3 linked regions of the Rhinolophus ferrumequinum genome follow. The protein of the gene in region 1 interacts with the protein of each later gene in a pairwise test. Links are inferred from orthologs where the notes say so. Each region holds a gene or a part of one and is shown in the gene's direction. Other genes may lie near its edges.

Region 1 (3,744 bases):
AGGAAGCCATAGAAAGCTTTTAGGCAGCAAGGAGAGGTTGTTGGATTTGGAAATTGTGTTTTTGGAATTAGTCTTATAGCTTAAAAATTATGTGCTCCCTTTAAACAATTCAGCCACTATGAAAATAAAAATTACTTGAAACCCTTTCCTCCAAGATAATCACTGATAATATTTTGGGGAAGCTCTTTCCTGAAATCTATGATTATAGAATATTATCTCAAATTTCACCTGAGTTGGACCATTCTAAACATGCTATTCTGTAATCAATATTTTTCCTTTGAGAATAAAATGTGAATAGCTTTTCATGTCAGTAAATAGATCTATATCATTATTTTAAATGGCTGTTCAGTACTGCATTGTTTATATACATAATTGAATTAGCCCGGTGATGGACATTTACGTGTTTTCCTTCTATAGTCAAGAACCTCATGTAACAACCTTGTATTCATCTTTTCCAAATTGTCGGATTATCTTTTTAAGGTGAATTCTTAAAAGTAATAGAGCTGGGTCAAGAATTATGCCCTTTTTACAGTTGGATTCAAGTTGCCAAATCGTCTTCAGATTTGCAGGACGACCAGGAGGAAGCTGCTGCCTTAGTTCTAGCGTGAGACTGTCGTAACTGGGATGGCGAAGAAAGTACAGTCTCACAGGTGATGTAGCTCATTTAGGCCTCTCTTCGGTGGGTTGGCAAATTCCTTCCCTTTTCCCTTTGCTTCACTTCTTTTTCTTAACATGGAGGCAGAACTGAGAACTGCATCTCCCAGCATATTGCAGGGACCACAGTCCCTGGGAATTGTAGTACCGGGCCTGAGAAGGGCCCGGAAGGAGGGCAGGAGACTTTGGGGGCATGCTGGGAAATGTAGTCCAGCGAGCGTCGGTAGCGGTGGGGGGGGCATTGTGTGCGCGCGCCCGGGTAAAGAGGTTGGAGATGCTGAGAACATCGCTACCTGGGGATAATGGAGCCGCGTGGGTGACCTAACTTCCTTCACATGTGGTCTTTGAGTCTACAAAACCGCCCGCGGATGGTTGACTTTATTCCATTGTCCATGACCGGGGAGGGCACCGCCCCACCGCACTGGGCGCGCGGCAGGAGCCGCAGGCCGCGCGCGGGTCGGAGCGGGGCATGCCGGGAGTTGTGGTCCCGGCAAGCTGAGGCTGTGGGACGTGTCGCGGCGCTGCGCCGGCTCCTCCTTCCCCGTCCTTATAGGTCCCCCGCCCCTTCCCTTCGCCTCCTCCTCCCTCGCCCGCAGCCGAACGTCCCCTCCCCCCATCCGTCGGGCTTCTCGGCGGCTACTGCAGAGGATTCAGAGCCGAGTCGCTGAGGAGGAGGAGGATCCCGGTCCCTGCGCGCCATCCGCCACCTTACTGGACACGGGCGAGGGAGCGAGAGCGTCGCCTCTGTACCCTCTAGAGAAGACAAGGGCATCGCCACCTCAGCCACCGCCGTCGCCGTTTTCGCCTGCAGCGGCTCTCCGGTGAGCAGACCCCCCCCCCACCGCCCCCTGGTCCGCTCGCCCTGAGCCTGGGCCGGTGGTACCGGGGAGAATGAGAGTGGAGGCTGCGTGAGCGCGGGTTGGGGGAAGGGGGTTGAGGTCGCGATGGAATGGCAGGCTGGGAGGGGAGACTTGTCCAGGCGCGGGCTGGGGGTGGGGTGAGGGTGGGACCCGAGCAGGTTGGGGGGCCACAGGAGAAGGGGACTTTTAATGGGGAATAACCGGACCTGGGACAGGAACGTGGGTTCGGGGGGCTGGGGTGGAATTTGGGATGGTTTAGGGGCGAGCTGGATGATGAGACTGGAGTGGGATGGCTTTTAATGGGGGAGGGGATTGAATGAGGGTGGTGGATTTGGGGTTGGCCTGGAGCAGTTGACAGTTTGGGATCCGAGCTGGGGTGCGGGGTAAGGAGATCATTTCAATAGAGAGTGGGATTGCAGGGTTGGATAGGACCCTGGCGCGGGGGGGGGGGATTGTTAATTCAGGAGGTTGGAACTGGGGGTGGACCTAGGGCAGGCTAATAGAGGTGGTGGAAGCTGGGGGTGGGGGGCTTGGCGTGGGTTGAGACCTGAGCTTGAAGTAGGCGTTTGCCATCTCAGGGTGGTGGAATTTGTGGAGACTTACGGAATCGCGTGGGTTAGAAGAGCAGAGGAGGTAGAATTTGGGGTGTTCCTGGGGAGCTGGTGGGAGTGGGACTTTCAATGAGGGGAGTGTAATGGTGACCTGGCAGGAGCGGGGTAAATTAGAAATTAGGCCCAAAATGGGCGGACAAGGATTGAAATTGGGCGGAAGGCGGAGGGGGGTGCACAGTAGGATGGGATTTCGGGTGATCTTAGAACCACTGGAAGGGGCATTGGTGGCTCTCTGGGTGCAGGGTTAAGGCAGAGGGCACAGAAGTCACCGCTGAGCTCGATTCACTGAAAGAAGAGTGGCAGGTGGTGAGCAATGTTGGGGGATGGTGTCTTGAAGAAAATGTCCCCTGGTCAAGGTGGCAGAGGGAGTTTTGGAGAAGGAATGTCTGAGAAGAACTGGTAGGACTGGCGAGATGGTTGCTAATGGGGAGGTGCAGAGGGGTTCTTTACGGAGTGGGAGACATCGGGTTGGTGTGGACGGGCAGGGAGGCTGTGGAGGGGGCAGGAGCAATGCTGGGAAGACGCAGGGGAAGGATTTGGATGGCCTTCAACAGGCAGAAGCAGGTGAAGGGCTGGACTTAAATGGACAGCTTTGGAGGCTGTGGTCGGGGGAAGACAGTAATCACAGGGACTTTGCAGGGGACAGAGAAGGTACATGAAAGACTCCCAGAGGACGTGGTAAGCTGTTAGTTTCATCTTTTTGTTGCATGTATATTAGTATTATATTTGGAAGTAAATCAACCCAAAGGGGAAAGTTGAGAGAGGCTTCAGTTAAGGTAGAATGAAGGAGGGGAGCATGTCTTCTGTTACAGACACACCTTGGAGGTACTGCAGGTTTGGGTCCAGACCATCACAATAAAGTGAGTGTTACCATCACGTGAGTTGTGTGCTTCTTGCTGGTGGAGGGTCTTGCCTTCGATTTGTAAAAACTGCAACATTCGTATAAATCTGCAACATTCGTATAGCGCAACAAAGCAAAGCACAATAAAAGGAGGTATGCTTGTATTGATATAAAAACAAAGTTTGGAGAGAAAAGCCCACTCCCAAACTAAAGGTGGAGAAGATGAAACTGGAATGTGATAGATGTCTTTCTATATGATGTCTCTGCGTCTTTTCTGCCTTCCCCTTGGTGCATTTAAAAATTAGTCCTGGAATTTAGAATTCAATAGATTTGATGAGCTTGAGGTAGCAAAGGGAGCGTTCCTTGCTTGAGAACTGATGAATGAGACTGAAAAATATAAAGCTGAATTCATCTTCTAGTCAGGCAGCGTGCATGTATGCAGAAAGAGCTTGGGCCTTTTTTTTTCTCCTCTAAAAATTGATTGCTTGAAGGCTCCATTTATTGGTGTCCTGGTTTGCAAGGCAATTAGGCCCATCATTGTATTGCAGGCTAACAATCCTGAGATGAATCTTGGCACCACCGCTTTAAGTAAACAGAGGGAAGACAGGAAATATGGAAATATCATAAATATTCATTGGTAAGATGGTTTTGGTATTGGTGGAGTTTTTCATTTGATTCTCTTCTGACATTACTTGATGAGATTTAAAAGAATCGGACTATATTTCTATAAATTGAATTCAGGTGGTCAGAATTCGGTCAAATGTGGATAAAGCATATA
Region 2 (3,744 bases), on another chromosome or scaffold:
CATCGAGAAAACCAATTCTGGGCTAGGAGGATTAAGCTGTACCATTTCCCCTGGTAAAATGTTTAGATGCCTTATAAAGCAACACCAAAATCAACAGCATCTTACAGTTAGAGAGCGTGCTTTCTCCGTTCCTTCTCCCTCCACCTTCCTTCTACTTCCCACGTCCTGTCTCTCCTCCTCCTTCCTCCTTTCATCTTCTTTTCTCTTCCTCTTTCTGCCCTGTCCTGTCCCTCTTTTTCCTCTCTCCAACCAGAACTGAGAGCCTGAGGTCCTACTCTTTACCCTGACGTCACTATCTTATTCATGGAGAGCATGTTATGTTTTCAGTATGGCCACTTGTCGGGCTGATAGAATTGGTCTTCAACGGCCATAACAATCCTCTAGGTTTTGCAGAGTCTGTTGAAAGCAAAACCTTTTATCTGGGCCTTCTGTCTTGGCCCTGTAGCTCATTAATGTCATCCATTGGTTCTCTCAGTTTCCGTTATTAACCCCATCTAGAAGGACTTGAAACTTGCATTGATTGATCTGGTGTCTTGAGGCCCATCTGGCCCTATATGCAAGGCATGGAGAAGGTAGGGGCGCTGGGAACAACTCTCGGATCCCAACGCACAAGCAGCCTACGCTGGTTCCAATTTTCCATCTAGAAGCACCGGACTCTACAGCCTGTGCGCTGCCTCCAGCAGCCTCCGGCGGCGCGGCAGCTTTAAGAGAGGGGCGGGGCCCGGGCACAGGCAAGGCAGGGCCAACCCACAAGGTTCCTTTTCCTTTTTGATCCATTCAAAAATTACTCATTGCAAATTCCCGGACTGCTGGGAGAAGAGAAGGAAGGAGGCGGAGGAGCGAAGCTGCTGCAGACGCCGCGCTGGGGGCACCCGGAGGCCCGAGTAGCCGAATTGCTGGCCGGGCCGAAGCTGCTGGCGGGCCGTTCTGGCTTCGGTGGCCTCACCAGGAAGCGTCAGAATCTCGACACCCGGGAAGCTCTGCGCCGCCTCCGCCCTCTCCGCCGCCTCCCGCCCGGCTTTCGGCCCGGAGCCCCCTGCCCTACCGTAGTCTAGCTCCCTCCTCCCTCCGGGACGATCCGACTCGAGCATCTTCCCCGGCGATGGCTGGCCTCTGAGCCATGGCTCAGTACGGCCACCCCACCCCGCTTGGCATGGCCGCGAGAGAAGAGCTGTACAGCAAAGTCACCCCGCGGAGGAACCGCCAGCAGCGCCCCGGCACCATCAAGCATGGATCGGCGCTGGACGTGCTCTTGTCCATGGGCTTCCCCAGAGCCCGCGCGTAAGTAGCCGGGCTTGCAGCCCTTGCGACCCCTCCCGTCCCAAGCGGCAGACCCTCGGCTTCGCTCCAGCTCGCCTCCCGGCGCCTGCGGGACGGGCGGCGCGCTCCCCGCTGCCCACGTCCTGTTGAGGGCAGGATGGGCGCGCAGGAGCCCGGCTCTCATCTCCTCCCCACCGGGGTGCAGGGGAAGATGCCGCGCGGGAGCGCTGTACGGGGGACTTGCTGGGAATGCCTAAGGTGAGGCATGTCTCAAGGAGACGGCACCTGGTTCGAGTCCCGGGAACCGTTCCCAGCGTCCGGCCTCCGCGGGTGGGGCTAAGCTGTTGTCCGCTAACCGCGGAGCCCCTGGGGAGGCGGGGCCCCATTGGGGATTTAGGTATCCTCTTGATCCGGAACGCAGGGCTAGCTTAGGATCCTCTTGATGGCTGCGAGACGGTAAGGGACCAGCGGGGCAGTGAGGCCGGCGCTCCCACTGCAGCGGCTTCCAGGTCCGGATGCTGCTCTCTGGTTGGGTCTCTCACCGGAGTAGGAGGAGCGGGATCGTGGGTGTTGCTGCGTGTTCATTGATCGGGAGGAAGGAATAAGGAAAGCAGTTCTTTCAGGGGACCTGAGTTCTTGTCAGTGGTGATGGCAGCGCAGAAATCTGTGGGTGCCTGAGAATAAGGGGGGGGGGGAGCTGTCCTCCAACATCCTTCTTCCCCAAGGAGGGTTGAGTAGGGAAAGGCAGAGAAAGCGCAGGTGGCTGCCCCTGCTGCCTGCTGCGAAGAGGCCTGATCCCAGCACAAGGCAGCAGCAGTAGCAGCAGGGGGCTTCTGAAGCTGGGCATCCAAGATTGTGGGGCCGGAACCCTGCCTAGAAGGAAGCCAAGGCCCAAAGGTCAGGCCCTTCTCCCTTGGTTGCTTACAAATTTCTTAGGTGGGAACAGACAGCCTGGGATCCCGTGGGGTGCTGCTTCTTTGAATTACATCACCTGGAGTGGGAGGTGGGGGAAACTTTATTAGGAAGGGCCAAGTTAATGAAACTTTTTTTTCTCCCCCGCCCCCTTCCAATTTTCAGATGATAACTCTAGGTTTCCCTTCCAGGGCCTCTGGGCAAACCTTGATTTTTCTTTACTAACCTGGCTGTAACCTCTTAATCAAAGCAGACCTCTGATTTTATCATTCTACCAAGCCTGCTGGGTCAGGTTGGCGTGGCCTTGGAAGGCCATAATATGGACTGATGTTTCTGTCTCCCACTGGCTTCCAAGCACAGGGGCTTCAGTTCCTGATGCCAGAGTTGCAGGGAGCAGTTGTGGTGGGCTCTGCAGGGGTGTGTCAGGTGTGGATGCTGCAAGTTAGGTCCTTCCTATGGATGATGGCTGCACATAGCCTATGGATGATGACTGAGCATAGCTCTCCTTACGAATGGTAGATAGGGGCCTGGAAGTCTGTTGGGCGATGCTGCAGAATTAGCACAGTCCCAGGCATTTTCCCTTTATGAAATGAGGCCAGTGTAAGGAACTATTAGGTTGGTGCAAAAGTAATTGCGGTTTTTGCATTTATTTTTAACCTTTTAAACTGCAATTACTTTTGCACCAACCTAATAAATTGCTTAATTAAGGGAAGAAATACTTAACTCCTCAGACCATCATGTTTGCTATTCAAACTGGCTTTAAAGGGACATCTTTTTCCTGCACTTGTCCATGTCCTGATAGATTAGGATGAGGGTCTAATTTTGGCTTGTTCAACCACTGAGATCTCATTACAACTAGCATTTGCTGATCACTTACTATGCACTGTTCTAAGCACTTTACCTACTATCTATTTTATCCTCCTAGCAACCAAACAAGAAAAGTATTTATGTGCCCATTTTATGAATTGGGAAACAAAGGTTTAGAGAGATTATGCAACTGCTCAGGGTCACAATAGGAAGCAGTGAATGTGGGATTCAAACCCAGTCAGTGCGCCTGCTCAGCTCAGGCCTCATATCCATGGCTGGAATGTAATGCATCAACGTGGGTAACATGTTAGTGCAATGCCCGGCACATAGTGGGCACTCATTAGGTGTTAGCTATTATGTTAGTTTCTGCGGCTGCTGTAACAAGAAACCACAAACTGGGTGGCTTAAGCAACAGAAATTTATTCTCATACTGTTCTGGAGCCCAGGAGCCCCAAATCAGTGTCACTGGGCTGAAATCAAGGCGACAACAGGGCTATGCTCCCTCTGGAGGTTCTAGGAGAGAATGCATTTTTTGCCTCTTAGAGCTCCTGGTGGCTCCTGGCATTCTTTGGCTTGTGACTGCATCACTCCAATTTCTGCCTCCATGGTCACATTACCTTCTCTTCTGTGTCAAATCTCCTTCTGTGTCTTCTGTAAAGACATTTGTGATTGCGTTTAGTGCCTCCCCGGGTAATTCAAGATAACCTTCCCATCTCAAGATCCTTAATTATATCTGCAAAATCATTTTTATTTTATTTTTTTGCC
Region 3 (3,744 bases), on another chromosome or scaffold:
CTGTCAGCTCGGCCGCTTGGCCGAAGCCTGGTAGCGAGACGCCGCCGGGCCCCACACGGCGGGCTGCAGACGCCGCGGCCCAGGCCTCGCGACGGAGAGGGACGCGCTCCTCCCCAGAGCCACCTCCTGTCCCCAGCCGCGCCCGGCCCACGCCCGCTCGCGCACGCCCGCACGTTTCGGGGCGCCCCCGCACGCCGAGGCCTCCCCGCGCCCTAGCAACGCGGCCAGGCCGGGCCTCGCGGGTTCCTAGGCTTGCCTCCGCGTCCTGGGGTCTCCCCCGCTCCCACGGCCGAGCCCGGCCTGCTGCCCGCGCCCCAGCAGCGCCCGCACGCCCGCCCCGCTTCCGGCCCGGCCCGGCCCGCCGCTCACCGCAGTCGAGCCTTTCTTCACGGCCTCCTGCGCGTACTCCACTTGGAAAAGGTGGCCGTCAGGCGAGAAGACCGTGATGGCGCGGTCGTAGCTCATGCCGGCGAGAAGCGCAACCGGTACAGGGAAAAGCGCACACTCACCGCCGGACCGACAGAGACTCGACGTCGCCGCGCCCGCGCCGCGCCCGCCCCCGGGCACCGCCCACTGCGCTGAGGGCGTAAGGCGGCGTCAGGCGGCAGCGGCGGTGTCGGGAGGACGTGAGCGCGCGCTGGGGCGGGGCCGGGCTGAACCACCGGCGGCCGGGCGCGGGGGGCGGAGCCGCGGCCGCGGGCCGGACGCGGGGCGCGGGGCGGCCGCCTGGGGTGTCCGCGCGAGGCTGGGCCTCGAGGGCCTCCAGTGCACAGGGCGGCGGGGCGGTGGGCCCGGAGGCCTTCGGCGGCGGCTGCGGGGCGGGCGGGCCCACGGCGGGACACCCCCGCGGCCCCCGCCCCCCTGCGACTGCGGAGAATGAGCTCCTCCGGCAGCCGAGCGCAGCCGGAGAAGAAACCCCGATGATCTCGTGCTGAGCCGGCGCCGCGACCATGTCGGTGGCCTTCGCGTCCGCCCGGCCGAGAGGCAAAGGGGAGGTCACGCAGCAAACCATCCAGAAGGTGGGCAGGGGCCCACGGGCTGGGGGTGGCGCGGGGTACCGGCGGGCGCGCGCGGAGCCGGGGCGCGGGCAGCCGGCGGGCGCGGGGCTCGAACAAAGCCGGGGCGCAGCCGACGGCCGCGACCCCGCGGGGCCACAAGAGCGCCCCGCCGCTAGCATGCGCCAACTTGGGCGGGGGCCTCGAGCAGGGGCGCAGGGCGGCGGGGCTGGGCGCCCTCGGGAATGTGTCGGTGGGGTGGTGTCCCTGGGCCAAGCCGGCGCAGTGGGGACTCGCCGCCTTCGGGGTAGGGGGCGCGCGGCGGCCGCGGGGCAAGGGCGCAGGACGGTGGGGACTGGAGCCCTCGGGATGGTGTCCGCGGGGTGGGGTCCGTGGGGCCAAGCCGGGAACAGCGCCAGGCCGCGCCGGACATGGTGGGGACCCACCGCTTTCAAGGTCCCTGCGCCGCGGGCAGGGTGCAGGGCAGCGGGGCCGAGCTCTCCCGGGATGGTGTCGGTAGAGTGGCCTGCGCGGCATGGAGTTCGCGGAGCCACGCTGGGAATAGCTCTGGGCCGCGCAGGGCGCAGGGGGGACCCGCCTGGCTGGCGAAGACAGTGGCGCAACGCGGCGGGTGGCCACTAGCCCCTGCGCACAGCTTAGCGAGTGGAGGGAGCGCACGGGGCGACGGGGACCTGGCCCAGCAGCCGGCTACGCCCGTCCCTCACTAAGGTGCTGGCACTCGGAGGCACAAAGGGGCGCGTCTCGAGTGTGCGACGCCGTTCCAGCGTGCCGCAGCCCTTGGAGGAGCGGGCGACACCTCGGGGTCGACCTGCTGGCCAAGCTTCAGCCGCTCTTATGCGCCTGTCAAATTGTTTTTCAGCGTGACACCTGGGCAAGCCTCCGCCTAATAGAAACATTGCAGGTTTGCTTTACAGCCTGTCCTCACGTTCTGTAAGTTTGGCCTTATGGTTTTCTAGAGATAACGTTTATGTAGGTTTGGGGCCCCTTTAACAAAACTCGTAAGATTTGAAGTTGGGATTTTAAATTTTCTGCTGTTTCTCTTTAGATGACAAGTTCAGAGGAAAAATGATGTTAGCCTTTCCGTTTGAATCTTCTAAACTATTTTGGTGGCTGTGTTGATTTCTTTCTAACTTTGGGATTCGTGGGGGTTGCAGCAGTATTCCTTGGTTCCCTCAGCCTCTTACCTTCCAAGGTGATATTCACCCTGATGACGCCAGACCTTGGGGACCTTGTCTGTTCCTCGACTACCTTTGCTGTGGCTGGTTTTGACCCGTGAGGAGTCTCAGGAAACCAAACAGGAAAGAGGCCAGTTGAAAAAACAGCAGAAATGCGCTTAAAAGTGGGGCATTTTTATTTGTCAGCACTTATGTGGCGCTTACTGCACACCAGGTACTGTTATAAGGGCTTTGCAAATCATAACTCATTTTATTCCTCGTGGTAGTTATTGTCGCCCCCATTTCATAGATGAGGAAACTGAGGCAGAAGGAGGCTAAGTGCCTGCTGGTTAGTGGTAGACCAGGAGTCAAACCCAGGCAATGAGCGGCTCCAGGGTCAGCCCCGACTGTGACACTTGATGTGAGGACACTTGGCGAGGCAGAGGTGCATGTTAGCAATCCCAGGGGTCTCCGGGCACCCTGGCTTTTGGAGTTTAAGCGTGATGAGCACAGTCCCTGTTCCTGACGCCACCTTTGACTTCAGTACTCATCCAGTTATTTGTACTTTGTACTCACCCCGTATTAAAGCTTCCCAAATTCTCCAGGCAAAAGTGTGTGTTAGAGCACCACTCCTGAACTTCAGATCAGAAAGAAGGAAACCTGCTGACTGCATCCCCCGGCAGAAAATCAGCCTGTTGACTGACCATTGGAAATCGGGCTTCCGTTTAAGCTGTCATCTGATTTGACCTGGTAGGCCTTGGTGTTTTTTTTTTTTGTTTTTTTTTTTTAAATTAATATTATTATTATTATTTTAAGTTTTATTTGTGTTTTTCCAGGACCCATCAGTTTCAAGTCAAGTAGTTGTTTCAATCTAGTTGTAGAGGGCGGAGCTCACAGTGGCCCATGTGGGGATGGAACTGGCAACCTTGTTGTTAAGAGCCTGGGGCTCTAACCAACTGAGCTAACCTGCTGCCCAGGCCTTTGTATTTTGACAGTGAATTTATGTATCCAGGGCTCTTCTACTGGCAGGCTGAGAAGGGGGTGAGAGGTGCATGTCCCGCACTCGTGTGAGCTGTGTCCACAGCAGCTGCTCATGCTCAGAGCATTGAGAAAAGACAGGGTTTTCCAGACGCCTGCTCCTTAATGAGAGAGCAGGAAGTATACAACTTGTCCTTGGAGCATGTCTGGGTAGGATTCTGCCAGGCAAACCTCCTACTCAGCCGTCAAGGCCCCACTCAAATGTCCCTTCCCTTGGTCCCTTGGCAGTCGTGTGCTGAGTGCAGCACTTTGGCACGTTGCTTGGGCTTCCGAGTTTGCGTGTCAGCGACTTATTCTTTGCTGTGTCCCAGCCTGGCACGATGCCTGGCACAGTCAGTGCCCAGTACACACAGGAGCATCTGTGATCCTGGTTCTGTCAGGGGAAGTGTTTGGGATAGGTAGGGTGTATCCATTTCCTGTGGCTGCCATAACAGATGACCACAAGCTGGGTGGTTTAAAACAGCAGAAACTTGGGGCGGCCGGATGGCTCAGTTGAGCTGTCAACAACAAGGTTGCAGGTTCAATTCCCGCATGGG

Evidence for each region.
Region 2: the proteins of FAM168A (region 1) and UBASH3B interact in binary tests that used the Homo sapiens proteins (3 or more experiments, as listed by UniProt). The two-hybrid records come from large-scale screens. The link is inferred for Rhinolophus ferrumequinum from reciprocal best matches to the Homo sapiens genes FAM168A and UBASH3B.
Region 3: the proteins of FAM168A (region 1) and SS18L1 interact in binary tests that used the Homo sapiens proteins (3 or more experiments, as listed by UniProt). The two-hybrid records come from large-scale screens. The link is inferred for Rhinolophus ferrumequinum from reciprocal best matches to the Homo sapiens genes FAM168A and SS18L1.

Annotation. Positions count from the first base shown.
Region 1 is NC_046294.1:48,816,266-48,820,009, reverse strand, and holds the start of FAM168A (protein FAM168A), read left to right. Parts: upstream 1-1,233; 5' UTR 1,234-1,475; intron 1,476-3,744.
Region 2 is NC_046308.1:37,595,422-37,599,165, reverse strand, and holds the start of UBASH3B (ubiquitin-associated and SH3 domain-containing protein B), read left to right. Parts: upstream 1-790; 5' UTR 791-1,120; coding exon 1,121-1,281; exon of another isoform or gene 1,282-1,417; coding exon of another isoform or gene 1,418-1,518; intron 1,519-3,744. UniProt on the Homo sapiens protein: Interferes with CBL-mediated down-regulation and degradation of receptor-type tyrosine kinases. Promotes accumulation of activated target receptors, such as T-cell receptors and EGFR, on the cell surface.
Region 3 is NC_046306.1:1,343,876-1,347,619, reverse strand, and holds the start of SS18L1 (calcium-responsive transactivator), read left to right. Parts: upstream 1-762; 5' UTR 763-950; coding exon 951-1,019; intron 1,020-1,875; exon of another isoform or gene 1,876-1,946; intron 1,947-2,775; exon of another isoform or gene 2,776-2,920; intron 2,921-3,744. Other genes in the region: PSMA7 (proteasome subunit alpha type-7), read right to left, coding at 370-465. UniProt on the Homo sapiens protein: Transcriptional activator which is required for calcium-dependent dendritic growth and branching in cortical neurons. Recruits CREB-binding protein (CREBBP) to nuclear bodies.